4 separate regions of the Mus musculus genome follow, and regions 1, 2 and 4 are each reported to be linked to region 3. Evidence: microRNA targets listed by miRTarBase, many of them from high-throughput screens and not tested one by one. Region 3 holds a microRNA gene; each other region holds the end of a gene's coding sequence.

What was found. The annotated mature microRNA mmu-miR-3085-3p reads UCUGGCUGCUAUGGCCCCCUC and lies in region 3 at 3,108-3,128, opposite strand. An mRNA with a match to its seed (bases 2 to 7 or 8) in the 3' UTR can be bound and repressed. Matches are read on the target gene's strand: a 7mer-m8 pairs with bases 2 to 8, a 7mer-A1 pairs with bases 2 to 7 and ends in A, and an 8mer does both.
Region 1: the mRNA of Cpox is a reported target of mmu-miR-3085-3p. Seed matches in the 3' UTR shown: 7mer-m8 at 3,888-3,894.
Region 2: the mRNA of Tmem88b is a reported target of mmu-miR-3085-3p. Seed matches in the 3' UTR shown: 7mer-m8 at 4,465-4,471.
Region 4: miRTarBase lists Aco1 as a target of mmu-miR-3085-3p. Seed matches in the 3' UTR shown: 7mer-m8 at 3,455-3,461.

Annotation. Positions count from the first base shown.
Region 1 is chr16:58,675,431-58,682,244 of GRCm38, forward strand. It overlaps Cpox (coproporphyrinogen oxidase), which reads left to right. Exons shown (of 7, transcript NM_007757.2): 5 at 1-30; 6 at 2,515-2,619; 7 at 3,240-4,961. The coding sequence ends at 3,327. Among named protein-coding and RNA genes, the nearest start is that of Cpox, 8.6 kb to the left of the region's middle.
Region 2 is chr4:155,779,178-155,786,625 of GRCm38, forward strand. It overlaps Tmem88b (transmembrane protein 88B), which reads right to left and starts at 6,697. Exons shown (of 2, transcript NM_001033394.3): 1 at 6,162-6,697; 2 at 2,414-5,348. The coding sequence starts at 6,425. The coding sequence ends at 5,091.
Region 3 is chr19:42,276,988-42,284,435 of GRCm38, forward strand. It overlaps Mir3085 (microRNA 3085), which reads right to left and starts at 3,183; the gene lies at 3,095-3,183. It overlaps Gm34347 (a long non-coding RNA gene), which reads left to right and starts at 78. Exons shown (of 3, transcript XR_386718.4): 1 at 78-2,936. It overlaps Crtac1 (cartilage acidic protein 1), which reads right to left. Exons shown (of 15, transcript NM_145123.5): 14 at 7,136-7,279; 15 at 6,048-6,693. The coding sequence ends at 6,575.
Region 4 is chr4:40,195,476-40,202,923 of GRCm38, forward strand. It overlaps Aco1 (aconitase 1), which reads left to right. Exons shown (of 21, transcript NM_007386.2): 20 at 770-955; 21 at 2,079-3,534. The coding sequence ends at 2,192. Among named protein-coding and RNA genes, the nearest start is that of Ddx58, 41 kb to the right of the region's middle.

The sequences.
Region 1 (6,814 bases), not on the chromosome of region 3:
CAAGCTGTGGCAGCAGCTGAGGAGAGGGCGGTGAGTGACAGGAGGGTGAACAGTCTACACAGCTCACAGACTTGGAGGGCCTCCAGGCACAGTGGCTGTTGTGCTGTTTTGGCTAAATACTTTATAACTAGTCATATTAATCCACGGTGATTTTTTTTTCTTAAGTAGACGAACATTAAAAATTAACTTAATGGGCTGGTGAGATGGCTCAGTGGGTAAGAGCACCCGACTGCTCTTCCGAAGGTCAGGAGTTCAAATCCCAGCAACCACATGGTGGCTCACAACCATCCGTAACGAGATCTGACTCCCTCTTCTGGAGTGTCTGAGGACAGCTACAGTGTACTTACAATAAATAAATAAATAAATCTTTAAGAAAAAAAAATTAACTTAACGACGTTGTATAATCAATGTCACAAGATTTACTTAATTCACCTGTATGTGTATTTGTGGTAGGCATTTACGTGGTAAGAACTTGTGGAATATTTTTCTCTTCATTTCCCAGTGACAGCTTCTACCTTCTGCTAAGATGAGGGCATCATTTAAGATTATTTTTTCTTCTTCTTTTGCTTATAAATTCAGAGTCACACTTTAAAATATTCGTCTTAAATATTTTATGAAGAAGCTATTGTAATACAGTCTTCGTGATCACCTTTACTTATTTTGGACCTCTTATGCACAACCCCTGTATGAGGGAGCCATTGTGTGTCTGGTTTTCCCAGGAAGCCTGTGGTATATATGGTGTTATCATATACGGACCATAAGGTGTCCTTACCAGTAAGTCCTTAAGCCCAAACTACACAGCAGGTCTGATGGCACACCAGATGTGAAAGTCCTCCTGTATCACCCATCCTTAACCTCGGCCCCTGATTGTATTGATGAATTCATAGGTGGCAAGATAGGTTGTGTTCAGGCTCAGTGACCCTCGTGAGCCAGCTCGCCACACCCACTCTCCCAGCCCCCGGCAGTTTCCTTGCTCATGTTAATTGCATGTGTACCATAAGTCGCAGTCATAGCCCGAGTTCTTCTAATTCCTGTTAACTCTCAGGCACCTGAGCCCTAAGGAGCTAAAGCTGTGCCTTGAAGAGGCCTTGAAGAAGTCAACTTACATGTTCCATGTTTAAAGATAAAATATGTTTGTATTTACCTTTCTGAGTTTGGGTGTTTGTTTTACTCACATAACTGTGTGCCCTGTCAGGTCCCCGTGTAACAGCCTAATGAAGTGAGAATAGAGTCAGTTTTCTTTTAGAAAATTTTAAAGCAATACAAGGCCCCCACCCCTGCCAATTTGTCACCCATATGCTTCCCATTCTGACCCCCTTTCTCTAGATTTATCTTGGGTCCCCTGAGGTTACTCACTCATAGCTTAGTAGGTCACTGATGTTCAAAAGAGAAGCTGTCTGCCACTGTTATCTTTGGCTTGGAAGATAGCAGTAGACTCTGGGGCTTTAGATAGCTCCAGCATCATCGCAAAGGCCCTTTATGGTCAGCGCTGGCTTCAGTTTCTTAGTCTAGTCATAACTTGTCATCTATATCCCCTATATAGATCTCGTCCCTCCCCTACCCCTAAAAAACCATTTTTATGAATCATTCTGAATTCTTTAGGACAGTAGAAAGTACAAGTTTAAATCTGAAGAGATTTTTGAATCCTGTGATGTTAACATCAGAAACAGATGTTTAAGCTAGATAGAATTCAGATCTGGTTCCCTAACAGTTAGTAGAAAATTTGGACAATACACTGAGCCTAACTTTACTTGATACCAAGATATTTTCATGAAGAAAAGAAGCAAAAAAACAAAAACAAAAACAAAAACAAACAAACAAAACCAAGTTAAGCTAAGCACTGAAGAGCAAGGCTGTAGCTTTCACAGTGATGGCTGTAAAGAGAGGAGGTATGAGTGGTCCCATCTCTGTTGATGCTGTGAACTCTGGCAGGGAAGGAGGCAGATCCCGGCTGTTTTAGTCACTGTTGCTTATAGAATAACATAAACCTATTCCTTATAGAATAATAACAGTAGTAGTAGCAGCAGCAGTAGCAGCAGTCGTAAGTTCCTTGCTCAGCAGTTCCTGGCACTTAACCTATGGAAGTTGGGTATTCCTAGTGTAGTATTGTGAGCCCCTGATGAAGCCCTTTTCCTGAATGCCTGTGCAACAGTGAGGACCCAGGCTGGGTTACCCAGGAAACAATGCTGCTTCTTTCTTAATTGTTGTGCGTGCCTGGTCCCAATTTGTGTTTGCACTGTTTATTCATGGGGAGAACATAACCTTGCTGATTTGTGGTTGCTCTGTGTTGGGCTCTGTGTTGGGCACAATCTGCATCCAATTGTTTGGCGGGTAGAATGCCCTTTTATTTACGCTTTCCAGAGGAGAGGGCTCGCTGGGCTGTGTAAGCTGTGTGCTGTGTGTAAGCTAGTTGGTATGAGATATGGGGAGAAGGGCCACTCTTCGTTTTCCTTAAGGATTTCTAGAAAGTTTCGCTCAACACACCTTTACGACTATCTGGTGTCTTTCTGACAGGTATGTGGAGTTTAATCTGTTGTATGATCGGGGCACCAAGTTTGGCCTCTTTACTCCAGGATCCAGGATCGAAAGTATCTTGATGTCTTTACCTCTAACAGCAAGGTAAGAAGCTGATTTGTCATAGTAACCCTTGACATAGTAACTCTGTCATAGTAACTCAGTGTCCTATAGTGAGTAACTCCTGTCATAGTAACTTCCTGTGCCCCATGGAATCTGCACATTAGCCTTGACAGGGTGTTACCTAATACTTCATTTATGTTTGTCTGATTTTTATAAGAAAACTGTGAGAGAATAAAGCCCAGATTGGATTCTGTAAGAAGTGACAGGATGTGTGTCCTATGCGCTTTGTATCTGAGGATGTGGAGAGAGCAAGTGGGAAGCTGAGTCTGGCCTTTCCTCACAGCCTTCTTTCTAGAAAGATACATTTGTAGTGTAAAACTTAAGCTACCTGTGTACTACCCAAGGCTCTATACTTTATGAAACCCAAGTTTGTAATGAAAGGATCTTAGTATTAACCCAGATATTCCTAAGACTTATTAAGAAATTTACTCTCTTAAGTAGCTGATTTTTTTATATATATATAGTAGAGACACAGTAGTCACAGTGGGGTGGAGGAACTATGCATTGTTTTTACTCTTAGGGTTTTATTCTCCATTAGTTATGTATGTCATTTATTGTTATTTTGTTTGCTTTTTTTTTTGTTTCGTTTTGGACATGCGTAGATGGGAGTACATGCATTCTCCCCCAGAGAATTCCAAAGAAGCTGAAATTCTGGAAGTGTTGCGCCATCCAAAGGACTGGGTGCACTGATGCATCAGACAGAGCCTTGCTCCAGGGCCTGGTGGACACAGGTGGTGTCTTCGTGCACTGTGGCCACTGTGTGGCAGGCAGTGTCTTCCGTGCCTTACTGTCCCCGCCTTCTTCACCCTGGGCACCCCGTCTGTGGCAGGCGGTTTTGATCTTTTCCAGTGCTGTGGGAGGAGGTGGCTCAGAGGTGGGTGGGGATGTCAAACTGTCAGATTCCTTGTCTGTGACATCCATTTGTACTTTTAGAATAATTTTCTGTGACCAGTCAGTTTGACATTGTGTTTCCAGGTCTTTGAGATAAGGGAATGTAAATACTATGATAGGTACCAGGAAACTCTTCATTTTATATGTTGCTTGAAGTTTTAGTTTTTGCTACAGAAGTTTATCAGGGAATACATTTTATCTTCATTAGTTCAGTCAGGATGCCCTTCTTGGGAACTTTGGAATGCAATTTGAAGCCAGTCCGTGGTGATGTTTGCCTTTAATCTCAGTATTCAGGAAGCAGAGGCTGGTGGATCTCTGTGATTTTGAGGCCAGGCTATTCTACAAAGGGAGTTCTAGTCCAGCCAGGGCTACACAGAGAAACCCTGTCTTGAAAAAGAACCAACCCCCCCCCCCAAAAAAAAAAACGAAAAAAAGAAAGAAAGGAAGAAAGAAAGAAAGCAATTTGAAGAAACATGTTTTTCTTTGTTGCTTTTGAAGTTTCTTTGACGTAATTTTCATGTATCTTTCTCTATATTCCAGAATATTATAAAAAAATACTCATTTTTTTTTTAAAGATAGCTATTTAAGAGCTCTGGAAATTTTCTTTAGTCAGTTTTTGTATTATATAATGATGACCTAGTTTACAACTGCAGATGGCATTATTATTATTTAAATAAGTGATATCTTCAGTGGTAAGGTTTTTGTGAGATCATAATTAGCTAACATTAGGATTCTATGTAATTTTGAAAGTGAAAGCTTATATCCCTGGATTCTGATACTTAAAAGTTTTATATTTTAGAGACTTAGATATGGGAGATTAGCCTAAGGACAAATGAAACACATTTTTTTTCTCTTTAATTAAAGAGAATGGAGTCTAACCTGGGCATTTTATATTTTTTATTTAAAAAATGGGCCAATAGAAATTGTGTTACTTTTTAAATTAGAGATTCTTCAACTTTTATCTTTTCTTTTAAAAGTCACAGCAGATTTCTTTTTCTTTCTTTTTTTTTAAAAATTAGGTATTTTCTTTATTTACATTTCAAATGCTTTCCCAAAAGTCCCCCATACCCCCCCCCCACTCCCCTACCCACCCACTCCCACTTCTTGGCCCTGGCGTTCCCCCGTACTGGGGCATATAAAGTTTGCAAGACCAAGGGGCCTCTCTTCCCAATGATGGCCGACTAGGTCATCTTCTGCTACATATGCAGCCGATTTCTTAATGTGTGGTTTACTTGTCTAAATAATAGTCTGACTGCGCTATGTTACTTGATTTATAATATATTGAATTTGTAAAGAACAATATTTAAATATTATCCTGGAATATGTTGGATGTATGTGATTGTGTTTGCCACTTTTAGGGTAAGAAAATCTACAGATTCTTCAACATGTCTTACATAGATTCAGCTAATAAATTTTATTATAACATAAGAAAAGTATTTGTTTCCTTTATTGTGATAACTTAGTACAAATATTTCTCGGTATAGTAGTAGTTCTTTATTACTAGATATTTTACCCAAGAGAGAGATCCATTTTTTCATTTTATTTTCTTAGCCATTTTACTAAAAATAGTTAAAATTAAAAACTCAAGTGCAGATTAGCAGGTAAATGGATAAACAGTTTGTGACTTATGCAGACATTAAAACTCAGCAACAGAAAGGAGTACTGCCTGAGAAATGCTAGTGTGCAAGGCATCAGGAAGATGTCAGAAAAGTGCCTGCTGTCCAATGTCACCTGTGAAGACTTCACCAGGGAAGCAGTCAGCGGCTGCAGGTGGGGCACTAAGGTGTTACCTGTTCTGTGGCTGAGGTGACAAAGGTGATTATACTCTGTACATTTATCAAATTCCCTTGAACTCAGCATTACAACATCAGAGAATTTTCTTATATCTGTAGGTAACCTTTCAGTAAAGAAAGACATAAGAACAGATGTTCACATACCCCTGTCTGGATACCTTTTAAAGAGCTAAAAATGTCAAGCTGAGCATATGGTTTAATGGCAGAGCCTGTCTAGCATGCATGAAGTCCTGAATTTTATTCCCAGAACTGGGGTGGTGGTGGTGGTGGTGGATCACAAAGATCCCTGGCTGATTTAATTGTATTTAAGGCTTGTAGGTGTTAGACACAGACACAGATGAAGTTTTAAAATCCTACCACCTTTGTTTGGATTCTTCAGTATCCACTCTGAACTCTGTCTGGAAGACCAGGAACAGATGTAAACCTGAAGAACATTCTTTTTTTTTTTTTTTTTTTTTCATTTGCTACACACACACACACACACAGTTGCTTCAGGCACACCAGAAGAGGGCATTGGATCCCATTACAGGTGGTTGTGAGCCACCATGTGGTTGCTGGGATTTGAACTCAGGACCTTAGGAAGAGCAGTCAGTGCTCTTAATCGCTGAGACATCTCTCTAGCCCTATTCTTCAAAATTAATTGCTCTTTCAAAATCTTATTGACATCTGTTCTGAGTTTACAAGGTGAAGGTACACCCCCATGTGGTATAAACACCTAACTCCTGTTGTCTGACACAGGCGTGTTGTTGGTTATAAGGGTATATCAGGCAAGATATACATACACAGGGACACGTATATAACTGCCATCCTACTACTGCACTGCGCTTGCTTAGATTAGTCGGATTTCTTTTACTGTAATGGAATACCAAAGGCTAGGTATTTCATAAGGAAAGGTTTAGGTTGTCCTTCTGGATGCTGAAAATTGAGAATCAGGCAGCTCCATCAGTTTGGCCTTTTAACGGGGCCTTTTTGGCTGTTTCACAATGTGTCAGAGAAGAGAGAAGTGGCCATCTACAGTATAAGCCAAGCAGGTGCAGGGGATGTCCTTTGTATCATTCTCATGACAACTGACTTCTGAGGAATCGTCATTTATCCCTTCTCAGAACAGTGTATCTGGTGACCTAACTCCCTCACATTAATCTGGATCTCTTCAAGTTTCCACCATCTTGAAAAACCCACAGAGAGGACCAAATCTGCATCGTGTGAACTTCCAGGAGTCAAACAACAATGGTCAACTAAGTGTAATACTTTGACATGCCCAGATCTGAGCCAAATAATGCGTTTCATTAGGACACAATCTTTCATGGGTCTTTTGTTATATTTTAACGAGATATACGTTACTTGAAAGTTTGAAACTGTGTGAGGAGCCTTGCCTGGGTAACTCAAAGTCCCCTCCATATTAGACAGTAGGGCGTGGTGCCTCCTGGTAGCTCAGCACACCCACCATGGGACAAGAGGGAAGTGTCATGTCTTGTGTTCTGGTCTAACCTCTG
Region 2 (7,448 bases), not on the chromosome of region 3:
TCCCCAGCTGGGGTCCTGGCTGGAATGGTTCTGTTAAGAGGCGATCTGATCAGAGTCCCTTGTGCCATCTCCAAGAAAGGCCCAGCAGTCTCCAAGGGGAGAGTGTTCCAGCTGTGGGGACCTGAGGGAGTCAGGAGGAGTTGCCTTTGCTCTCAGGGACAGTACCAGGTCTTCTTACTGAGCACCCCACCCACACCCCACCACCCCACACCCCACCACCCCACCCACACCCCACCACCACCCCACACCCCACCACCACCCCACACCCCACCACCACCCCACACCCCACCACCACCCCACACCCCACCACCACCCCACACCCCACCACCACCCCACACCCCACCACCACCCCACACCCCACCACCACCCCACACCCCACCACCACCCCAGCCCCACCTCAGTTCCTGCCTCTACCAGAGATGCCTGGGAAATAAGCAAGGCTAGAGCTTAAGCCCGGACTTGAAGCTGGATGGGCAAAGCTGGCTAAACACAGAGTCACTCGTGGCAGATGCTGTCTGCGGCCATGCCTGCGAATACTTTGTGAATGAATAATTTAAATAAAGTGGGAATCTCACTGAGCCCAGTCTCTTTAGCTGTGATAATGCTATGACTCAAAGCTTAAGAGGAGTACAGACAGGACACAGCCTTGCATATGTGCCTACCCCAGTCAGGTTCCTTTTTATAAGGCAGGCCCTGAGTTACTGGGAAAGAAGTCTGCATCCAAGTGGAGGTCTCGCCTGGCGCGCCCTGAGGAACCGGTGAGGAGGGAGGAGACAGAGGCCCTCAGAAGAATTAAGGTGCTCTGAACTCTCAGGCCAGACATGAGGATCCTAGGTTCTAAATGTTTCTGTCATGAGCTTGTGCTAGGTATGAGTTAGGAGATAGACACTTGAAGGGACTAGACACAGTACTACCAAGGCAGGAGACAGTAGGTTATGCAGGCCTACCTCAGAGATGGGACTGAAGGCCCAGCCTCACACTTTCCTTTCAGCCCCAAACCCCCCTTTTCGGACCTGTCCAGTGGTGGTGGAGTGGGGGACAGTGACCCCAGATCTGTGTCTGGTTGTATGGTGAGCTAGCTTGTCTCTTCAGCCCTCAGGCTCTAATCTACCAGCTGGCACATTTCTGTCCTTCACAGCTAAATACAGACCCCAGACCTCTTCCACAGATCTCCCATGACCTCCACAGCATTCCTTTTTGTGTGTGTGATGCTGTGAATAGAACCAAGGTCATGTCTGCCCCCACATAAACACCAAACTGTACCCTTCTATATCCAGCTCCATTCACAGCACAGTAGTGTTTTGTTTTGTGACAGTCTTATTTTGTAGCCCAGGTTGGCCTCAAACTCATAGCAATTCTCCTGCCTGAGCTTCCCCAGTGCTGAGATTACAGATATAATCCACCATGCTCTGCACACAGTGTTCCTTTGAAAGCATGGCCAGGAGAGAGAGAGAGAGAGAGAGAGAGAGAGAGAGAGAGAGAGAGAGAGGAAAAGGAAGAAGAAGGAGAAGAAGAAGAAGAAGAAGAAGAAGAAGAAGAAGAAGAAGAAGAAGAAGAAGAAGAAGAAGAAGAGGAGGAGGAAGAAGAGGAAGAAGAGAAAAGAAGAGAGAAGAGAAGAGAAGAGAAGAGAAGAGAAGAGAAGAGAAAAGAGAAAAATTTGGAAGATTGGATTGAAGTAGGTCATCCCACTGCCCTCCCTTGGACATCCCCATGGCCACTGGAGGACACCCAAGGCTCAAGATAGGCTTGGGAAGCTGGGAAACACCTTTCGGAAATGGAATGTCTGAGGCAGCTGCTGTGACAGAGTTCCTCACCCCACCAGCAGCCACTTAAGCTTGGGAGTTGATTTCTACAGTCACCTCCCCACCCCCACCAGGCCCAGCTGTTGTTTTGATGACTGTGGGGCCAGGCAGATCCAATCCTCAGCCAAGAGTTTCCCAGGAGAGTGTTCATCTTCCACCTCTGGGGTTGGCCAGCAGAAGGAAGGCAGCCTCATTCCGGAGGAAGCACTCCTGGGCCGCTTGGCGACCAGCTGGCTCCGTCATTCTGTCTGACCAGGAAAAGAATCAAAGCTGGACACGGATGAAGGCTGGAAAGCCCCAAGACACACAAGGCACCCTACAGACCGGACTCAGCCACACACTGGGCTACGCTTGAGACTACAAAATTCACTCAATCCTAGTTAGGCTGAGGTCTGACCCTGGCTGAGCCACACTGGCAAAACAGTGTGCTGGATCCTTTAAAAAAAAAAAAAAAGTTAGGTCTGGGCATGGAGGCATGTTCATAATTCCAATATGTGGGCGGCTGAGGCAGGAGGTTCATGAGTTCTAGAGCATCCTGGTTAGAGTTGCAAAAGTTAAAGTAAAAACAAACAAACAAACAAAAACAAAACAAAACAAGTCTGATACAATTAGATTCCAGGTAAATTATAATGAGCATATTTTTAACATATTGCTGGGCTTACAAGAAAATATGTCTCAAACAACCCCCCGCCCCCAACAATTAAACATTACAAAAACATAAACCAAGGGACCAGAGAGATGACCCATGGTGTTAAGGCACTTGCTACCAACCTTGACAACCTGAGTTCCATCCCTGGGACCCACAACTCCTAAAAGTTGTCCTCTCTGACTGTCACAACACACATACATTGTGGCACATGCACATCCATACATGTACACACACACACATCTAGCAACAAGCTAGAAAGTGGTGGTATACTCCTTTAATTCAAGCATTCGGGAGGCAGCGGCAGGCAGATCTCTGAGTTCAAGGTCTGACTAATCTACAGAGTGAGTTTTAGAATAGCCAGGGCTACACAGAGAAAACTCGTCCTGGAAAAAAAAAGTAATAACACAACAATAAGAAGCAACCAGCATATTGAAGGGAACTGATAGGAAAATAAAGAGTTCTCTGAACACAGGACAGAGAGACATGCTGGGGTGCAGAGAGGGGAAGGGGCGAGTACTCTGTATTGAGGGCCATGAGCTAGTGCCATAAGGGAACCTAAGATGACTGGTTGTTTTTGTCTCTGGACAAGACTATTAAAGTTAGTGCCTGCCTTAGGTTTCTATTGCTTTGATAAAACATCAGGATCAAAGGGCTGGAGAGATAGCTCGGTAGTAGCTGCTCTTCCAGAGGACCAGGGTTCAATTCCCATCACTCACGTGGCAGCTTACAACTGTCTGTAATTCCAGATCCAGGGGATCTGACACCTTCACACAGACATGAATGCAGGCAAAGCCACCAATGTATATTAAATAAAATAAATTATTTAAAAACAAACAAACAAATAAAAAAAAACTCAAGACCAACCAACCGAGCAGTGGCACACACATTTAATCTCAGCCTTTGGGAGGCAGAGGCAGGTAGATTTTTGTGAGTTCAAGACCAGCCTGGTCTACAGAGTAAGTTCCAGCATAGCAAAGGCTACACAGAGAAACCCTGACTTAAAAATAAACAGATAGGGGCTGGAGAGATGGCTCAGTGGTTAAGAGTGCTGACTGCTCTTCCAGAGGTCCTGAGTTCAATTCCCAGCAACCACATGGTGGCTCACAACCATTTGTAATGAGATCTGATGCCCTCTTCTGGTGTGTCTGATGACAGCTACAGTGTACCCATATAAATAAATAAATACATCTTTAAAAACAAAACAAAACAGATAGATAGGCAGGCCGGCAAACAGACAAAAGACAACCCATCATGACAGGTTTATGTCATCTTACATTTCCCAGATCTCACTACACTAAAAGTAGTCAGGGCAAGAACTCAAGGCAAGAACCTGGAGGCAGGAATTGAAGCAGAACCTTACAACCAAAACAGATCTGGAGGGCTCACTCAGTAGTAGAAGTAGTAGAATTTCTGTTTTAAAATTAAAATGTTCAAGGCTTAACCCTGGATGGTAGCACACACCTTTATTCCTAGTACTTGGGGGTGGGGAGTGGGGCAGAGACAGGCAGATTCCCTGAGTTCAAGGCTAGCCTGGTCTACAAATAAAATTCAAAAATAATAATTTTAAAAATACTTTAAATTTTAAAAATATATCCACAGCTAAGGCTATAGCTCAGTGGTAGAGTGCTTGCCTAACATTTATAAGTCCATCCCAGGACTACTAAAAATAAAAAGAAATAAGATATTCTATAAAAATAAAAAGAAACAAGATATTCTAGTTCTAGTATGTACGAGTCCCAGGAAGAGGAGAAGATAGGAGACAGGGAGGGAAAGGAGAATGATAATTTATGCGTAAGTAGGAACATGTTAGTCAAACTGTAGCATGCCAAATACAAAGATAAATCTTAACATTACCCACATTGTAAAATGAGCTCGTATTCTGCCACTTGTCTCAAAAGAAAGACCCCTGGTCAGAGAATGAGCTCCAGTTCTAGATATGCGCTGATACCTGACCCCGAATGCAAGCTGAGTGCTAGGAGCTGGAGAGATGGCTCAGGGTCCTTTAGAAGACAGCTGGCTGCTCTTCCAGAGGACCCAGGTTGCAGTCCTAGAACCCACATTGCAGCTCGCACCTGCCGGTAACTGCAGTTCGAGGGCTTGTGACACCCCCACATAGATACACATGCAGGCAAAACATCAATACACACACGCACAAAAATAAATAAATAAAAATAAATTACATATTAACAACGACACGCCGATCCTGCACTTACACTGAATCACTGATCCCAGATCCTATCTCAAACCTGATCCGGGCAATAGTTTGACCATGGACCCAACTGATCTTTTGTCCTGTACAAGGTCAAGACCTTGGAGGACTCAGCTGATCCCGCAAGTTGAGCCATGACGTCTGGTTGCTACTGGCTACACCGGAGCTTCTAGAATTATGCGTGGTTGGGGGGGGGGATTCAGAGATAGCTGCCAAGTCGGCTGCTGACCACAGAATTGGGTGGAAGACATAATATGCTTTTCTGCTTTTCTTGAAGGGACACCCTTTCTCCCTCTTCTGAGGGACCCTGTTGCCATCTCCTGGCGACTTCGAGCACTGCTCTCAGAGCCCCAAAGCAGCCGCCCGAGTCATCCACTTTACGGGGGTCGAGGGACCTGGGAGGCTCTTGACGCGCAGAGACCTTGAGGCGTCAGACCCAAGCACAGAGTTGTTTGTCCTCGTCCGGGTGGCCGTCGGCCAGATCTCCGCTGCTCCTGGGCGGGCGGCGCGGAGCCGGGGTCCTCGCGGGATCAGGCAGCGCAGGGCGTAGTCGCCGGACCAGGAGGGAGCGCGCGGCGGCGGCGAGCACCACGAGCGGCGGCAGGGAGAGCAATCCGAACACAATGAGCGCCGCGGAGCCGCGGTCCGAGAGCAGCGCTCGGCACCGTGGACCCGGAGCCGGATGAACCTGTGGACAGTGGAGGCGTGCAGTCAGGCGGGGAGGCCCCAGAGCAGCGCAGGGGTGAGGGAGGTCCTGGGCCCCGAGCTCAGGGCAGAGTCCAGAAAGAAAAGCGTAAGGCTGGGAGGCCTGCCTGGAGGTGGAGCCTGGACAGAAATGCGAGAACAGAACCAAGAGTGTGTGTTCGGGGATTCCTTAAGGAAAGGCCAGAGAACCTCCCTGGCTCTCCCAACCCAGTTTTCCTGTCCCCATATGAGCTTCCTTCCATGCCCCTTACCTGTTGACAGCTGATATGGCTCCATCTGGACTGTCACCCAGCTAGCATCGTTTCTCTCTATCAGCTTCAGAAAGGGGATATAGGGGTCGTCTATGTATAGGTCAAGCCTTAGATGAGCGGAAGCCTAACCAAGGTCAAGAGGGTTCAGGGAAGGGCTGTGGGGGGGAGGAGGTGGGGGGGAGGAGGTGGGGGGGAGGAGTATGAGGAGTGGAGAAGCACTGAGGACGGGTGAATCTGACAATTTCTTTTCCTATCTCCACATCAACCTCACTGACCAGGCCCTAGTACCTCCTGGTACAAAGCTAAGAGGCCTGGGGGGGGGGGGCGGGGGGGGGGAAGCAAGACAGCTGTTCACCGAGTAACAAAGAGACTTTCTTTGACTGCAGCTGGCAGGGATGTTGGCATAACAGGAGGATGCATATATCTCTGGTTACAAAGGGGCAAGGCTAGAAGGGGGTAGATTCACCTTCAACCCCAAGGACTTGAACCTCCACAGAACTCTCACTTCCCCACTTCCCGGGGACTAACCAATGGCTACTGCTCACCCTTGAGTGACACAGGAATCCCAGGTAGACAACGGCAGCTGCTGGTAGCAACACCAGCAGGAAGACTGTTCCAGGTAGCAGCAGATGAAGCAGGAACCCAACTAGAGCCCGGCCAGACAGCACCAGGGTCCCGAGGCCTCGGGTGGCCAGGATAGGAGCCAGGACTGAGATGTGGTAATCAGTAGGCCTTCTTCGGGGTAGCATGGGTGCTGTGTCTGAGGCAACGCCTTCATCCTCTTCTGTCTCCCTTTCCTGCTCACTCATGTCGTGCCGCGGGGCTTGAAGGATGTTCCCCCAAGATCACAGTGGTAGGCAGCAGGCCTAATCCCCCTCCTCCAACCACCCTAGGCCCAGACTAGAGAGCCTTTTACCCTCCCCAGATTCAGTTCACATCTAGATCCTCGCCATCAGAGAGTAGACTCTCATCCAGTTTAATCTAGCACTGAATATCAGTCTCCAGGGCTACACCTCTGCCACAGTTTCCCCTGCTACCTTGTTGGGCCTCTTTACCAGGCAAAGGCAGGCAGCGCCTATGTGCTCGGCTCAGGTCTTACAGAGCTCTTCCCATCTGAGCACTGGGGCCCTCCTTTCTCTCAGCCCATCTCCCAGTTCTCCCAAACAATGGCTTCATTTCACAGATCTTGGCGATGACAGAAGCTCTATCAATAGCTGCCATTTAGGGACGAACTATTAACTCATTTCCCAGTACTAGCCCCTGCACTTCCCCTTATCTGACACCAGGTGACTTCATGTTGTGGAGTGATTCACAGCATGACAGGGTTGTACAGTTAGTAGTGCTTAAGGTAGTACCCGGCACAGAGTGGATACCTAATTAACAGCAGTTGCAGTTGCTCTGTACTAAATCCAATCAATCATGGAAGTATACAACAAGCCTTTCAGATGATGGGAGCATATAGTCCACTGAAAACTCCAGCCCTCTTCTGGTCTTCATAGGCACTAGGGATGCTTGTAGTGCACATACATACATACATACATACATACATACATACATTTGGGCAAAATGTTCATACCCATAAAGTAAAATAAATACATCCAAAAAATTTTAAGTGTTGTAAATTATCTCCTTACTAAGCACACATTCTTGTAATTTACACACACACACACACACACACACACACACACACACACACACACACACATATCCTCTTCCACTATGGCTAGACAAGGCAGCCCAGTTAGGGGAACAGGATCTACAGGCAGGGAACAGAGTCAGGTAAGCCCCAGCTCTGGTTGTCAGAGAACTCCCATAACAAACCACAACCACCA
Region 3 (7,448 bases):
AATGGATGGATGGATGGATGGATGGATAGATGGATGGATGGATGGATGGATAGATAGATGGATGGGGATGGATGGAGCAGAGATGAATTGACAGATATGTGGGTGGATACAGAAAGTATGGGTTCAAGGGAATGACTGATGGGTCAGGACTAAGAGGGCTGCTTGGCTGGAGATGGATGCTTGGAGACCCTGGAGAGGCAGGTGAATGAACGAGCACTGATTGGCCCTGTGTTCTCCTGAGCCATTCACAACACAGGCCTGGACTCTTCAAAGCAGAGACTCTGTTTATCCCATCCCCAAATGAGTTCAGCATTTGTAACTGAGTGATGGATGTGTCTTGCTGGGAAGAAGTCTTCTAGGTCTAATATTGCCTGGTTAATGACTTATGGATTGTTGTAAAGTCTGGCACCACAAGAAGTGCAGCCAGGAGTTGAAGGCCTTGGAACAGATTTCATAATAATAATACCGCATTTCATCAGCTAGGTGTTGCGCAGAGCCCTTTCCTGGAGGGAGCCTCGCTGCCGTTGCTCAAGGCTGTTACTACCCCACTCTGCGGATAAGAACCTGAGGCTCAGAGGGGGAGACACTGTACCTTACTTCCGAGTGTGGAGGTGGATTGTCTGGCAGGAAATCTCAGCCTTTGATTTTATAGTCTCTTAGTGAAGAGAAAAATTCAAGTGTAGATGGATAGAAGGAAGGCCACAGGGACCTAGTTCTAGACCTCTAAGAAGTGCTGTGGCATTTGGTGCATGGGAAACCTTTTGTTTGGACTGAGCTACTGTGACTATTCTAATGACAGTGTCCCAGAGCCAACCCCAAATTTTCCCCCTTTCTCTTCTCTGCATCTTCCTGGAACAGCAGAGATGGGTACATCTGGTTTGCCTTCCTCTGTCTGGTTTCTACCTGTTCTCCTGCCATTCAGGAGCAGTCGGGAGCTGGGGTGTGTTTCTCCTTCCACAGAGGGAAGGAAGTCAGCCCTTAGCTTGGAGGGGCATCCAGCCACTCGGAGGGTAGGAGTTTTTGTTGCTGCTCTGGGACTGGCCATGCGAGAGGAGCTACCTTTATGATAATGAGAGGCCTCAGTTGGATTTTCTTCTTCCTCACAAACTGGTGTGGTGGCATGGATGGGCTCTGAGCAGAGCTCCCTAGGAATGGTGGCAGATTCTCCTTGCTCCCCTCCTTGCTAGCTCCTGACCTGCCTCCTTACTCCCAGCTGCCCAGGGGTCTCCTAGAGAGGGTGCCTCTGTCTTGGAGTGCTTCCAGGATCAAGCGTGTGGTTCTTTTTGTCACTTGGTGGGAGGAATCAGTTCCACCCACTTAGTCTTAAAACCGTGGTCGCATGCTTCTGAAACAGTGGAGCTTTCTGGGGAAGGAAGTGGGGAGTCGTACCCTGGCCTGAGGTCTTCAAAAGAGCCAGGGGCAGTGTGACCCCGAGGAGGACCCACGGGGTCGCAGAATCTATGGTTCTCAGTCTCCCTGTCTGCAAAGCATGCGGCAGAACTAGAAGACCTCTCAGGTGCCTTGGCACTAGCTGCTTGGGGAGTCTGTTAGTGCTGATGGAGACTGTCTAGAAAAGTGCCGTGGCTTCCAGCAGCCTCTGCTCTGTGCGGCCCAGCCGACCTCATGCCTACCCAGCTCTATTTACTTTATTTATATCTTTGGCAATGATGCCCCGTGAGCACTATGTTGAACCTGGCATATGCCAGGGCCAGGGAGCTGGCCTCTGCCCCTTGATGGCTATTTGTGGTCCTGCTGTCTCTTTCTCACTTACCTGCAGCATCCCAGGGCAGACAGTGCACACCTCTGGTTGTTCCAGGCACAACTGTTGAGGAGCATGGGAGCTTTGACATCAAATAGAACCTGGCTCCATCATCAATTGTGGTATTTATTAATAATGAGATCTCTGATTTATAGGAGGTGCACTCCATGCCAGACACTGTGGCAAGTTTAATACAATAACTGTGAGGTATCCGTTACTGCTAAAACTCAAGTTTAATAAATGTAAGCTTCATACTCATTTTAGAGACGAGAAACTGAGATTCAAGTATATTTTACCTACTTTAAATCTTAAATACTTTAAATCTTAAATATCTTTTTTTTTTCCTCTAGGGGCTGAGCACTCTGGCCCACCCTACCTAAAGTAACAGTTTGCCTCTACCCAGGTGCTCACAAACTCCCTTAATGTCTCCCCTCTTCCCCCACTCAGGATTTTCTAACACACAAGACTTTTACCGTCATGTTTATACGAGCATGCCTTGCCAAATGTCAACATGGAAGAGATGTTGCCAGTGTTGTTCACCGATAAATATCCAAAGCCACTAGAATAATGTGCAGCACATAGTGGTCTGTATTTGATTATCAGTGACCAGTTGGTTACATAACTCCCTCAGGTGCAAATTACCTGGAAACTGAAAGCACACAGCTTAGGAACCCAAGCTGCAGAGTAGACAGTTTGGGGTCTAAATTACATCGTCAGCCACTTCAGTGAACTCTGACCCTGTGTAGCTTGTTCTTCCCAAGCCTCAGTTTCCTTGGTAATAGAGTAGACCAGTAACATTTGCCTTTCAGGATGGAGTAAGGATTAATGCAGACATCTATGCAGTTTTTGGCATATAGTGGGCATTCCGTAAATGTTAACTTCTCCCCGAGGATGCTCTTGTGTCTTCTTGCTTCTCATTTCTCCTCTGATGGTCTACCCTCTGACTGAACCACTGTTCCACAGTGCTGTGTAAGAGGGCAGAGCTGCTGAGGGCAGAGGACAGTGGGATTATCTGTCCTGTTAACTAGCCCTAGCTGCCTGCCTCCTTCTTCCTCCTTCCAGGATGTTCCTGTTGCCAAGGAAACACAACCTCAGCCCTTGGCAGGTTTCTGACTCCCTGTGGCTTGGCTACTGAGCTTACAAAAGGAATGAGACAGCGGTGACCATGGGCAGAGAGGTAAGGGGAGGGATTTGACTGTCCTCCTGAAGTTGGAGTCTGGAATCTCTGGAACCCTGAGATGATGAAATGATGAAATGTTCTCTGTCTCCATGTTCCTCTAACAGAGGCTGTGTTGGAGTTCTTGCTTGGTCCAGCCTTCTTGGTAGGGATGTGATGCCCAAGCCCTGGGAGGGGGCCATAGCAGCCAGAGTGACTCATATTCAGACTCTTGGCCCTCGGAATGGCACCTTCCCAGAGTTGGGACTGTTGGTGATGGAGGTGACCTGGAGAAAGTGACCAGGCTGGCCTGGTGAGGGCGCTCTCCATGTGGGTGTGGCCTGCTCTTCCTGCAGGCTTTGGTGTGACTCTGGTAGGATTGCTTCAATTCTCAGCTCTCTGGGAACTCTGTTTCTCCCTTCCCACTTAGCCCTTGACTTGGAGAAGGATGAGAGACTGTGGCTTCTGCCCAAACCAGTTGGCTACCTGAATGAAGTGGGTAGGCACGGCAGGGCAGGTAAGCATGCTAGTGGGAGACAGCCAGACTGTCTGGGACGCCACCCCACCTTTGCTTATCCCAGCTGTGTGATCCCGAGGAACCACTTAACCCACCCCTATAATTATAGCCTCTTCCTCTAGGGATTGCTGCAGGGATTAAGCGAGTTGGTTCTTGTAAAGAGTTTATGTCCAACCTAGACACGCTGAGCTCACTCACTGAAAGCCATTATTGTCATTCTGAGGGGGAACATTCCTGGAGGAGACTGCATCAGACAGAGTAAAAGCGATATTATTGTTGTAGTTATTATTACTATTAAAATTGTTAAAGATCGTTTTGAGGGGGTATTCTTGAAAAATGGAACGAAGGATGGGAAGGATCCCACTTCTGCCTTGGCTAGAGTTGATCATGTGTTATTCACCTGCCCTGAAGGTGGCTTTTCCATTTTTTTTTTTTTTTTTTACTTTTTACAACTTGGAGCATAACCTAAAAAAAAGATGTCAGGGACCTAAGTGGGTCTATGGGACAGAAGAAAGATGGGTGTGTGTGCTCCAAAGTGGACAACGAGGGCTCAGAGGCCATGAGCCTCAGGATGAGGAAGTGGAGGAGTTAAGGGGATGGGGACAGTGGCCTCCTAAGCCTTGCTGAAGCTTGCACCCACTCACCCGTGGCTGATAACGCTCAGGAAGTGAAATGAAGGTCTGGAGCCAGGGGCACCCAGCTCCAATATCTGGATGCCTGGTGAGTGGCGGGCAGGTGATGTTGGGTTGGTTCAGAGTCTGCCCATCTTCCATAAAGTTTAACCTGGTATTTTTTTCCTCCAATATAAGCTTCTTGGGTGTAGGAGACTTAACCTTCTCACTGAGGGGAGCTGGTTACCTTCTTCATGAGAAACCCACGAGGTCCTTAATCAACACTTGCTGAATGGACACACGGATAAATGAATGCATAGTGTTTGCTTCTCAGGCGCAGTAACCTGAGAACCTAGCTAGACTTTTAAGAAAGCCCCTTATAGTCCCCTCCCACACTATACTTGGCTTTTTCCATCCAGCTGGAGGGAAGGTGGTGTGCGTGTGGGGTATCAAACATGTTATCTTTACTCACTGTTACAAACCTAGAGCCCTACCCAGGCCCTGTTGCAGAACAGGGGCTCAGCCAATAGCTGTTGAATGAATGAACGCCACGGAAAGCCTTCTTACCCTGAGTTTGCTCTCAGCAGTTAGGGAGCCTTGAACTTCTTTCTTTGACTCCCCTGACATTCCCACCAGATAGGATGAAATGGCACTGCCAGACCCCGTGGCCTGAAACTCAACCGGGGGTGGGGGGGGGGGAGGGATCAGGCATCCTCTGGAGTTGGCCGTCACACTTGGTGTCCTTGGCAGGCTGTCTCGCTGGTTTTTATTTTTATTTTTTCCTACTCCCATTTCTCATGCTGACATGTGTGGCCAGTCAATGGAGCTCGCTATCTTGTCATTTCCTACTGCTCTGCGCTGCATTTGCGACCAGTCCCCGTGGGCTCTGGGTCTTCCTTGTCTTACTATCTCAGATCCACTTGTTCAGGTCTGAAAAGGCAAGGGCTTCCGGGGTGAACGGGGAAAGGTCTGAGCAGCAAGTGTACAGCCGCTCACCCTTAACATGATGGCAGGAAGAGCTGCATGCCTGGTGTGGGGGGCCAGCTGGCTCTGTGACCTTGGGCAGGGTGACCTCCACCACTTCATCTCTCTGAGTCTCATGTCTGGGGCCCTTGCAGATCTTTAATTCCCTGTCGATGGGTAGGGACGGTGCTGGTGGAATTGGAACGATTTTTAAGTTGTTATGTGCTTCCCAGGGAAATTGTAGCTGTTTTCATTTTAAAACTTTTCATTTAGGCTCTGGTTCTGAGTGTAAACACAGCGCTAGCTACAAGGAATTCATATTTGGTGATTTATTGGGAATATTATTATGGTATCAGGAAAGGGTAGTTTTTTGTTAAATATGTTTTTAAAAGGCTTGCTGCATTCTTAAGCATGATTTTATTATATCTTCAAGCGACTTTTTTCCCCCATGAAGAATATATCTGTGATTTATAATGGGCCTTCACTAGCAGAGCTGGTCATGAGCATATTCTGTGGTGTTACATCATCCCCAAAGAGTACTCTGGCTACGGGCACTCCCAGGCTCCCAAGCATATTGCAGAGGCTGAGTTGCTAAGTTCTTTCTAGAAACCAGCACTGCTGGAGACTCACCATACCTATGTCCAGTCACGCAGCGGGGAGTTGGGGAGAACAGGGGGTGTATGGATGTACTGACCCAACTCTCTTGTCATTTACGGAAAGGCAATGGGGTTCCAGAACGGAGACGTTAATTCCTGGAAGGATACTGCACTGATACAGCACTGCCTCCGTGCCTGCCCCTCACCCACTCCACGTGCCTTGTCTGGTCCTCCGAGTATTTCCTTCACCCAGCCGCACGGCTGGGGCCCGAGGACGGCACTTCCCTTACGCCATGACTTGTTTCCTTGTACCCCCTGGTGGAAGGGTCACAGCTAATTCAACACTCCAACCAGCATGTACTTGCTCAGACACCCCCTCCCCCATGGCTAATATCCAGCAGAGTCTACTGGCATCATTTCTCCAGAAAAGAGGCTGGAAGACTTAGCAAGTTCAAACTTAAGCATTTTTTTTTTATCAACAGTCCCAAAGGGCCACCCTTTCCCTTTCCGTCGCCACCACCAATCCAATAAGGCTTCCGTAATCATAGGAAATCAGGTTGTACAAAGCAGCAGCAGCAGCACAGGCCGGATCAGCAGGCACAGGATACATTACTGAATCAACCGAGCCAGCAACCACCCAGGAGCCATCTTTGTCAAGGGCAAAACAAGAAGAAGCTCACGAAGATACAGAAATGACTGGACTCTCTTGGTTCTTCTCACGGAAGGAGGGGTGGGGTAGAGGAGATAGTTTTCCTTTTTCTGTTTTCTCAGAAAACATGCAAAGAAAGGCTTCACCAACAACTAAGGTCCCATCAGTATCTCCCAAACTTCCCTTTTCAAAGATGGCCACCCCTGCTGTCCGTTCGAAGGAGCACATGGCGGGATCTATGGGGTGTGGAGAGAGGTAGGCAGCAGGAGAGATATAGTTTTCCACAAAGGTTGTTAGATTTTTTTTTCCTTTATTGATGGGATTTAAAGTGCATATAACTGAAGGCAAAGTCCCAGGCCTAGAGAAAGATACGAGGCCTGAGAGAGAGGCTCAGAGAGTCTAAAGGCAGCCGATGAGTACCCACCTAAAAAGGCCACTTGAGCTGCAAAAAAACAAACAAAAGCGCAGGGAGGTAAAAAAAAATGGGGAGAGACAAAGGGTTGGTTGGGAGGAAGGATTTTGGGAGGAAGGATAAGACAAACACTAATTCAGAAATTATCTGCCAAAGGTGACTTGGAGGAGCTATTTGCATCCCAGCTATGAAAACACTTGCTTCAAGGACCACGAGTAGTGGGATAACGATAAGACCAGGACACGTTACCCCGGGGCCCTTCCAGTGGGACAGGAGTGATAGGGCCTCTCCAAGCCTGGCATGGTCTCAACTGGAGAACTATTGTGAGTCTAGGAGCACCTATCAACCCAGGGCGATGCAGGGGCTAATGGCTGTGGCCTGGAGCCCACTCAGAGCCACCCGTCCCTCCCTGCCACTCCCCAGCACAAGGCACGTGTCTTCTGCTACTGAATGTGGCCAGGGTTCCACTTACCCACACAGGCTGTGCCGTCTTCATTGGGTTCATAGCCCCGATTGCATCTTTTATTGGTCCGGCACCTGTAGCTTCCATAGGTGTTGACACATACGGGTTTGTCTCGAGGGCACACAAATGGGAACTGGATGCATTCATTGGTGTCTGCAAAGCAAGGGAGCCACTCGCCAGGGACGTGTAGGCAGTGTGCCCTAGCTTGGGATCTGTCTGCCCACTGAGCTGTGACCCTGGGCATGTCCCTCCTTGCTGGGCCTGTCTCTCTACTTCAGTGCTCTAGGATAGCTCCTCCTATCCTGGCCTGTGCACACTGGGA
Region 4 (7,448 bases), not on the chromosome of region 3:
ATAGATTTGAGGCTGTATCTAAGGATTGATAACTGACAGGAAAGCGTAGTTACCACAGTTCTCTGCTGTATTGGTCACTGCTGTATGTTGCCAGTTGCACACTAACAATAAAAGGCCCTTTATAGGAAGCTGCATAGCAACACTGTTGAGTGCAGTTTGATCCTGAACTAGCAGGTGGGAAAGCTATGCATGCTAATCGTTTAATTAGTAGTACATTCTGCATGTCAGATCTGATTAAACCCTTGGTGTCTGCTGATGTGTGCCCACAATAAAATAAAACCCAAAGAAAGGAAAATTATATATATATATATATATATATATATATATATATATATATATATATATATATATATATATATATATATACACACACACATGTATATATAATTTTTTTGAGATACGTATTCTAAAGGGCTCTTGTGTCTCAAAGTGGTTCAATGCATGGTCAGACCTCATGGGTTCCAATACTGCATCCCACCACTGAGACTCCCTCAGTGAAAGGTAGCTGTAATAGCATCGGCTGGATCTCGAGGCTACTGGAGGGCAGGAAAGAATTCAAGGAGGTGTTTACAAAATGCTGGTGTACGATAGGCAGTCGGAGACGACTCACCACTCAGCTATCTCTAACCAGAGGATGGCATTTGAGATGAAGGACCAACAGGTCTGTAATCTAGCTGTGAGAATTTCCAAAGAAGCGTCTTGCAAAGTGTCTGTGTACCTCTTAAAGAAAAGTTGGAGCTGTGTCTAAACATCTCTCTTGGTTCGTCAGGGAATCAAAGCTGTCCTGGCAGAGAGCTATGAGCGCATTCACCGCAGCAACTTGGTTGGCATGGGGGTGATCCCCCTTGAGTATCTCCCTGGTGAAACTGCAGACTCTCTGGGACTCACAGGTCGGGAAAGATACACTATCAACATCCCTGAAGACCTCAAGCCTCGCATGACGGTGCAGATCAAGGTACGCAGGGCTTCTGCTGGCACAACCGGCAAGGCCTGTTGTTTGTCATCAGTTGACAGAAGAAATTAGTGGGGTGGAGGGGAGTTAACTCCAGACGACATCCGATGTGAAGCCTCGTGGTCCTTCGTAGGATAATATCTGCTGGTTAGCATCATTTATCAATTCATTCTGAACGCCCATCCCCAGCCAGCCCCATTCTCTCCGTCTCTCTCAGCCCAAAGATTAGTGATGCAAGTTCAGAGGTGATGCTTTCCTGTTATCTAAAATTTTTCTTTTTTAATGAAATTGTCATCAACAAATTCTGTATGTACGCCCTCCATGACCCTCGTCCCAGGCCCAGGCTTCACTTAGTTAGCCCCATGGTTTTGCTTTAAACGAGAAACGTCCCCACAGTCTCTTCCTGCATCTGAACTCTCAGTAAGCAGTGCTCGCTCGTGCCTCCAGGAGGTTTAGGTTGTACGCCATGCTGGGGAAGGAAGTGTGTTACTGGGGGCCGAGTTGGAGAGTTCGGAGACTTACAGTTGCAGTTCCCTCGAGTGCTCATCTTCCTCCTGCAGCTGTGGCTCCCACCATGATGGAGTCTGAGAACCATAAGTTGCTTTGGTCATGGTGTTTTCTCACAGCAACAGAAAAGTAACCCATGTCGAGGTAATGACACATCGTCAGGAGAGGCGAGAGTAAAGTGCCCTCTGCCAAAGTCCCAAGGGGATTTGACACTGCAGAGACAGCTGCTGAGGTCCCAGGATGACCCAAGGCAAGCAGCTGGATCAGCTGCTTAAGGAACAACCCCAGAGACCTCTGCTGCCCAGAGCATGTCCAGAAAAGACTTAGGGCAAAGCGTCACAGTGTCACTCATAGCTGCTGCCCTGAGAGGACACTTTGTTCTCATGTGCTACACCTGTGTCATTAATTCTGCAATGCTCCTCAACCTCTGGTGGGCACATAAATTCCCAGGGTTCTTGTTGGGTGCAGAGACCACTGGTTCCATCCGCTGCTGGCACTGTGGGCATATACCACGCCCCAACTGAGGCCAGTGGGCAGCCAAGCCAGGCGGAGTCTCCCTGAGGTGGGAGTCTCGGTTCAGCCCCGCCTTCAGCAGCGCTCTGCCTCTTTGCTCTTGCAGCTGGACACTGGGAAGACCTTCCAGGCCGTGATGAGGTTCGACACTGATGTGGAGCTCACGTACTTCCACAATGGAGGCATCCTGAACTACATGATCCGAAAGATGGCCCAGTAGGTGCTGACCTCTCAGGAGACCCGCACTTGGTGCTAGACCCAATGAGGAACCAGGCCCCCACTGGTGGAGGCCTGGCAGAGCAGCCACATCTACTTCTGATGAGGGTGCTGGCAGGATGAGCAAGTGGGCACTGCCATTCCTGGAGGCACAGAGCCAGGAGTCTCTAGTTTTGTGATTTGTTCATCTTTTTATCCCTTTCTGTAATCTGGATTCTAGAATCACGGGAAGGTCCGTAGTACCAAAGAGAACTCGCTTCTCTTTAAAGTCACGGACATTGATTTTTTTCCCTCTGACTAATCTTGAGCTCAGCACTAGCCAGTATTCTCAGAAGTGGCTCCTACCCTTTCTGTTGTTCTGTGTTTGTCTCTGCTCGGTGACACCCTTCCCTGGAGAGCCCAGTCCTCCGTGTATTACACCAGTGTTAACTGACATAGCATAGACCTTCTTCACACTTCAGATTCATAGCAGCGATGGGATCCCTTCCTTTGAAGTGAACAAGTCCTTGTAGATAGGTCACCCGTCAAAAGTGTTTGATTATCTACCTTTCAATCAACATGAGATTGCCTCTTACCATTTTCAACGATTGTTGACAGGGGTCCTTTGTTTGAAAATAACTGGGGAGAGATACGGGATTTCTAATTTGAATAAGATTAAATATATTTTCATGAAAACGTGTTGGCTTTGGAGTTGAGTTCTGTCGGGGGAATGTCGCGACACTGAGAGCCCCGGAAGTCCTTCGAGTCCTTCGAGTCTGCTGTTTGTACCCCTGCGTCTGAGCTGCGGGCACAGAGGGAACACTGTGGAGCCAGCGTGTGAGCAGCTAGTGTCAGCGCAAAGGACAAGAAAGCACCTTCTGTCTTGGTCACAGCAGCAGCAAAGAGCATATCGCAACTTCTTGGTGCCCTAAAATCTCTTCACTGATCTTCATAACTGGAATTATTTTAGGGTGTGCCTTATTCTGCTCAGGCTGCTGTAGCAAAATGCCTGAGTAAGAACCAGAACTGAGAACTGAGCTGTGAGTGACCCAAACCCTGAGCCTTGTCCAGACCACCCAGTGCCTGTGATGGAGTAAACATTCCGCTGGGGGAGGGGTTGCTTTGTCTCTCTTAACGTTTTATCTTTTCTTTCCTTCTTTTCTTTTTCTTTTTTTCTTTCTTTCTTTCTTCTTTTTTGTTGTTGATGTTGTTGTTGCTGTTGTTGTTTGGTTTTTTTCGAGACAGGGTTTCTCTGTATAGCCCTGGCTGTCCTGGAACTCACTCTGTCAGCCAGGCTGGCCTTGAACTCAGAAATCCACCTGCCTCTGCCTCCCAAGTGCTGGATTAAAGGTGTGCGCCACCACCGCTAGACTGTGTCTCTCTCTTTTTTTTTTTAACTAAAAAGTAAAAATTGTATTTACTTCGTACATGATTTTTTACTATGTAAACATCATGGAGTGGCTGAATTGAGCCTCACATTCTTACTTCTTGTGGTGAGAATACTTCCAAGAATATATTTTTCGAAGAATATAGGATGTATAGATTTCAACAGCAATCTCTGTGCTGTACTGCTTCTTCCTCCTGAATGAAATCCCACGTTCTTCCATGTTTTCACGTATGGCTTGTACTATTTTCTCCATTCATTTCATAGCTGACCCTTCACTGCCTCCTTAGCTATGACGTCCTCTCCGCCCCCGTAACTACTGCCGTGAACATTTAGACATAGTGAGATTGTGCTGTTGTCTTCCTTTTGTGCATGGCCTTTTTCATTTAACACAATGTCCATAAAGTTCATCCCTGTTGCCACAAGTAGTGTATCTGTGTGTACAGGCGTGTGCCCTTTGTTGTCTTTACTGATTCAGCCGTGGGTAGACAACCGGGCAGACGCTACCCTAGCTTTGTGAGTAGCACTGAGATGAATGATGCTGCAGGTGTTCCTCAACAGACTGGCTTGATGCCTTTGGGTGCATACCTAGAAGTGGAATTCCTGGGTCATAAGAGTGGCCTTTGTGACTTTCTGGAGGGCTCCATACTGTTTTCCTGTTACATGTACCTGTATATGACCTCCTACTGTGTGTGCATCCCCTCTCCCGTACTCTCAACAGTGCAAACCTTGATTTTTTTTGATATGGTTTTAACTATGGTTTTATATGCAACTCCCTGATGATTAGTGATGTTGAGTATATTTTCATGTATGTATCAATCACTTTTGTGACTTGTTTTGAAAAACGTCTGTTCAAGTCCATTGCCCATTTTTAATTGAGTTATTTCATTTTGTTGTTGAATTTTAATACCACCTATCCTAGATAGTAAGTATTTATCAACTATTTTCTCCTATTTTGTAGTCAGTCTTAACCCTTGACTATTTACACGGCTAGAAAACTTTTATTTGGAAGCAGTCTGGTGGGCCCGTTTTCCTTTTCGTTGCTGAAGACGTAACTATAAATAGCGCCATAGCATTTCTTGCATTTATCTAATCCTTTCTTGGAGTGAGGTCTTATGCTTAAGTCTTCAATCTGTTTTGAGTTGCTTTTCATATAGTGTGAGATAAGGGTCCAGCTTCGTTCCTTTGCATGTGGACATCCAGTTTTTCCAACAGCATTTATTGAAGACAGCTCTTCTCCATTCACTGGGTGTCTTGGCTTCCTTGTCAAGTCCTAGCCACGCCGGTGTAGGTCTACTTCTGCGGCCTCTGTTGTTTCCCATTGGGTTCTGCATCTCTTCTTAGGTTAGCAGAATGCTGTTTTCATTGCTGTGTCTTTGTAATATATTTTGAAGCTTGATAACGGTAATAATTTCAGTTTTGTTTTCCTTCTTGGCATATCTTTGGCTGTTGGGAATCTTGTGGATCTGTGTACATAGTAAGGAAGCTTTTGCTTTTTGGGAAAATACAGCATTGGGAATTTCCTAGGATTGCACGGCATCTGCAGATCATGGTGTTAGCGCAGACATGTTAATAACTTTAATTTTTTTTTGTATGGAATTTAATTTTCTTAAGCCCCCGTATGGCTCATTAGTTGTTCAGGAGCATAGTATTTACACATTTTTTGCACATCTCTAAAATGTCTCCTGTTACGGGTAGGTGAGGACTCACTTCCACGTGGCTGTGGATGTCCCTCTTGGCCCCTTGTATGCGCGGTGATGTTCTTTGGTGGAGTCTCCTGTCTGTCTAGTGGAGGTTTGGAGTTGTGATTGCAGTGAGCCTCAGGAGTCCAGTGATACCGCAGGCTGTTTTAAAAGCTGGGCGCACATATGAAAACTTGCTCTTCCTCCGACATTTTGTATTTTAAACACCATGCTTAACTTGTTTGTATACTGTGCACCTAATAACTCATGGTTGTGATTATCATTTTAATGGTGTTGTCTTTAAACCTTTAAAGTGGAAGTAAATGGTTGGAAGGTTTGCATCCCATCCAGTAGCGTTCTCGTTGGATCTGGACTTAGTTCCTTTCCCTGGGAGTTTTATGCTTTTGTGTCTTTCCTTGTTTCTAGTGTCGGCTTGAAGAACTGCCTGTGGTGGGGATGTTAGGATGGCTCCCTTGTCTTCTATTTGAGAAAGCCTTTATCCTCTCTTCAATTTTAAAGAACAGCTATGCCAGGAACGGGATTCTTGGCTGGCAGTTTTTAGGGGTGGGACTCTTGGATCTTGGCTTCCTCAGCCTCCAGAATATCTAAGCTTAAGCTGACTCCTGTGTGAGATTTTATTGTAGCAGCCCAAGCAGACTCAGACGCTGCCTGTGAGGGAAGTTTCCAGTGGCTGCGCCTCTAGAACAAGCTTCTTACACTCTCCACTCCTCTAGCTAAACGTGGCTGCTGTTCTTTGTGCTTCAGTATTGGCCAGTACCCAATGCTGGCCCAAAGCTAGACTGTACATCTTTTTACCTGAATTCTTAAGGCGGGGCTGGCCCACCTACTCCCATCCCTTCCTTCATCTTATAAAAGGGATGGATACCTCCTTTGTGTCTAAGTCCGTTACTGCCTCCTCCTTCCTAAGCAACAGGCCTCCCTTGGCACATCCATAGTGACCTAAATGGCATTTACTTAACACAGCAATAAAGTGCAAGTACCTTTCAAGTGTGTGTGTGTGTGTGTGTGTGTGTGTGTGTACGTGTACATACAGTGTTTTTGTGTTTCATAGAAAAAGATTATATAAAGGAAGAATATGTTAGTCAGGTCAGTCTTGGGGTGTTAAAAGGATGACTCAATGTGGCTTAAGCAAAAGAAAAAGTAAACTGGTCCATGTAACTAAAAAATAGTGACACCATGGCCTTGGGCTTATTTGGTTCTAGTGATTTAAACGTAGGCCGCTTACCTGTTCGCTCCCCTCTTAGCTCATGTTCTAATGGCCTCTGAGACAGCATCTGTTTATATCTCCTATTCTGAGTCCCTCCAGGGTCAGGGTTATGGCTACCATTAGCTGTTTGGTGACAGTTAATCACTTGTCATTGTAAACATCTGCCTCAGGCACAGACAATAGGACTTTCTACTCATCACTGAAGAACCTTAACTTTGGTATAGCCTCTCCTTCAGGCCTGTGTTAGTGTCTGAGTTACTTTTCAGTTGCTGTTGGGAATATATCCTGACAAAGCAACTTCAGGGAGAAGGTTTATATTGGTGAAGGGTTCCAGACCTGGTATCGAGAACATGGCAGCAGGCAGGGAAGGCACGGTGACTGAAGCAGAAGGCTGGCCAGCCACATTGCATCTCCTCTTAGAAAGCTGACTGAACAGGAAGAGGAACCAGCTACAGAGTCTCTAGATCCATCCCCAGTGACACGCCTCCTCCAGGGAGGCTTCATCTCCCACAAGTTCCCCAACAGCACCACGCTCTGGAGCCCAAGTGTTCAAAGGAGGCTACCTTCAGGTAAGATGGCATGGAGCAGCCCATGGGTTGTACCGGACTGAAACAGCCTTGCTTATGAACACAGGAACTGTGGTTCTACCGGCTCTTTAGGAAGTTGTTAAATGTTGTAAGCACAGATGTACTTTAACACTCAGCTAATTTCTGTTCTCTTAGTCAAATTGCCATAAACAAAGATAATCATAGCTGGCATTTTTATTAGGAGTTTTAAAAGTTCGCACCCAACAAGCCTGTACCTGTTTATTAAACACAGATTTGTAAAATGAAGTCGTAGTTATATTTTATGGTGTATTATTAAAACAGTTACTGGCATGATCCAGGAGTGTACAGTTCACTTGGATTCTACCTGTCTAGTTGATATTTGTTGGTGGGTTTTTACAGGATGCTAATTAGCAAGGTCCAATGAACTGAAGTGTTTCAG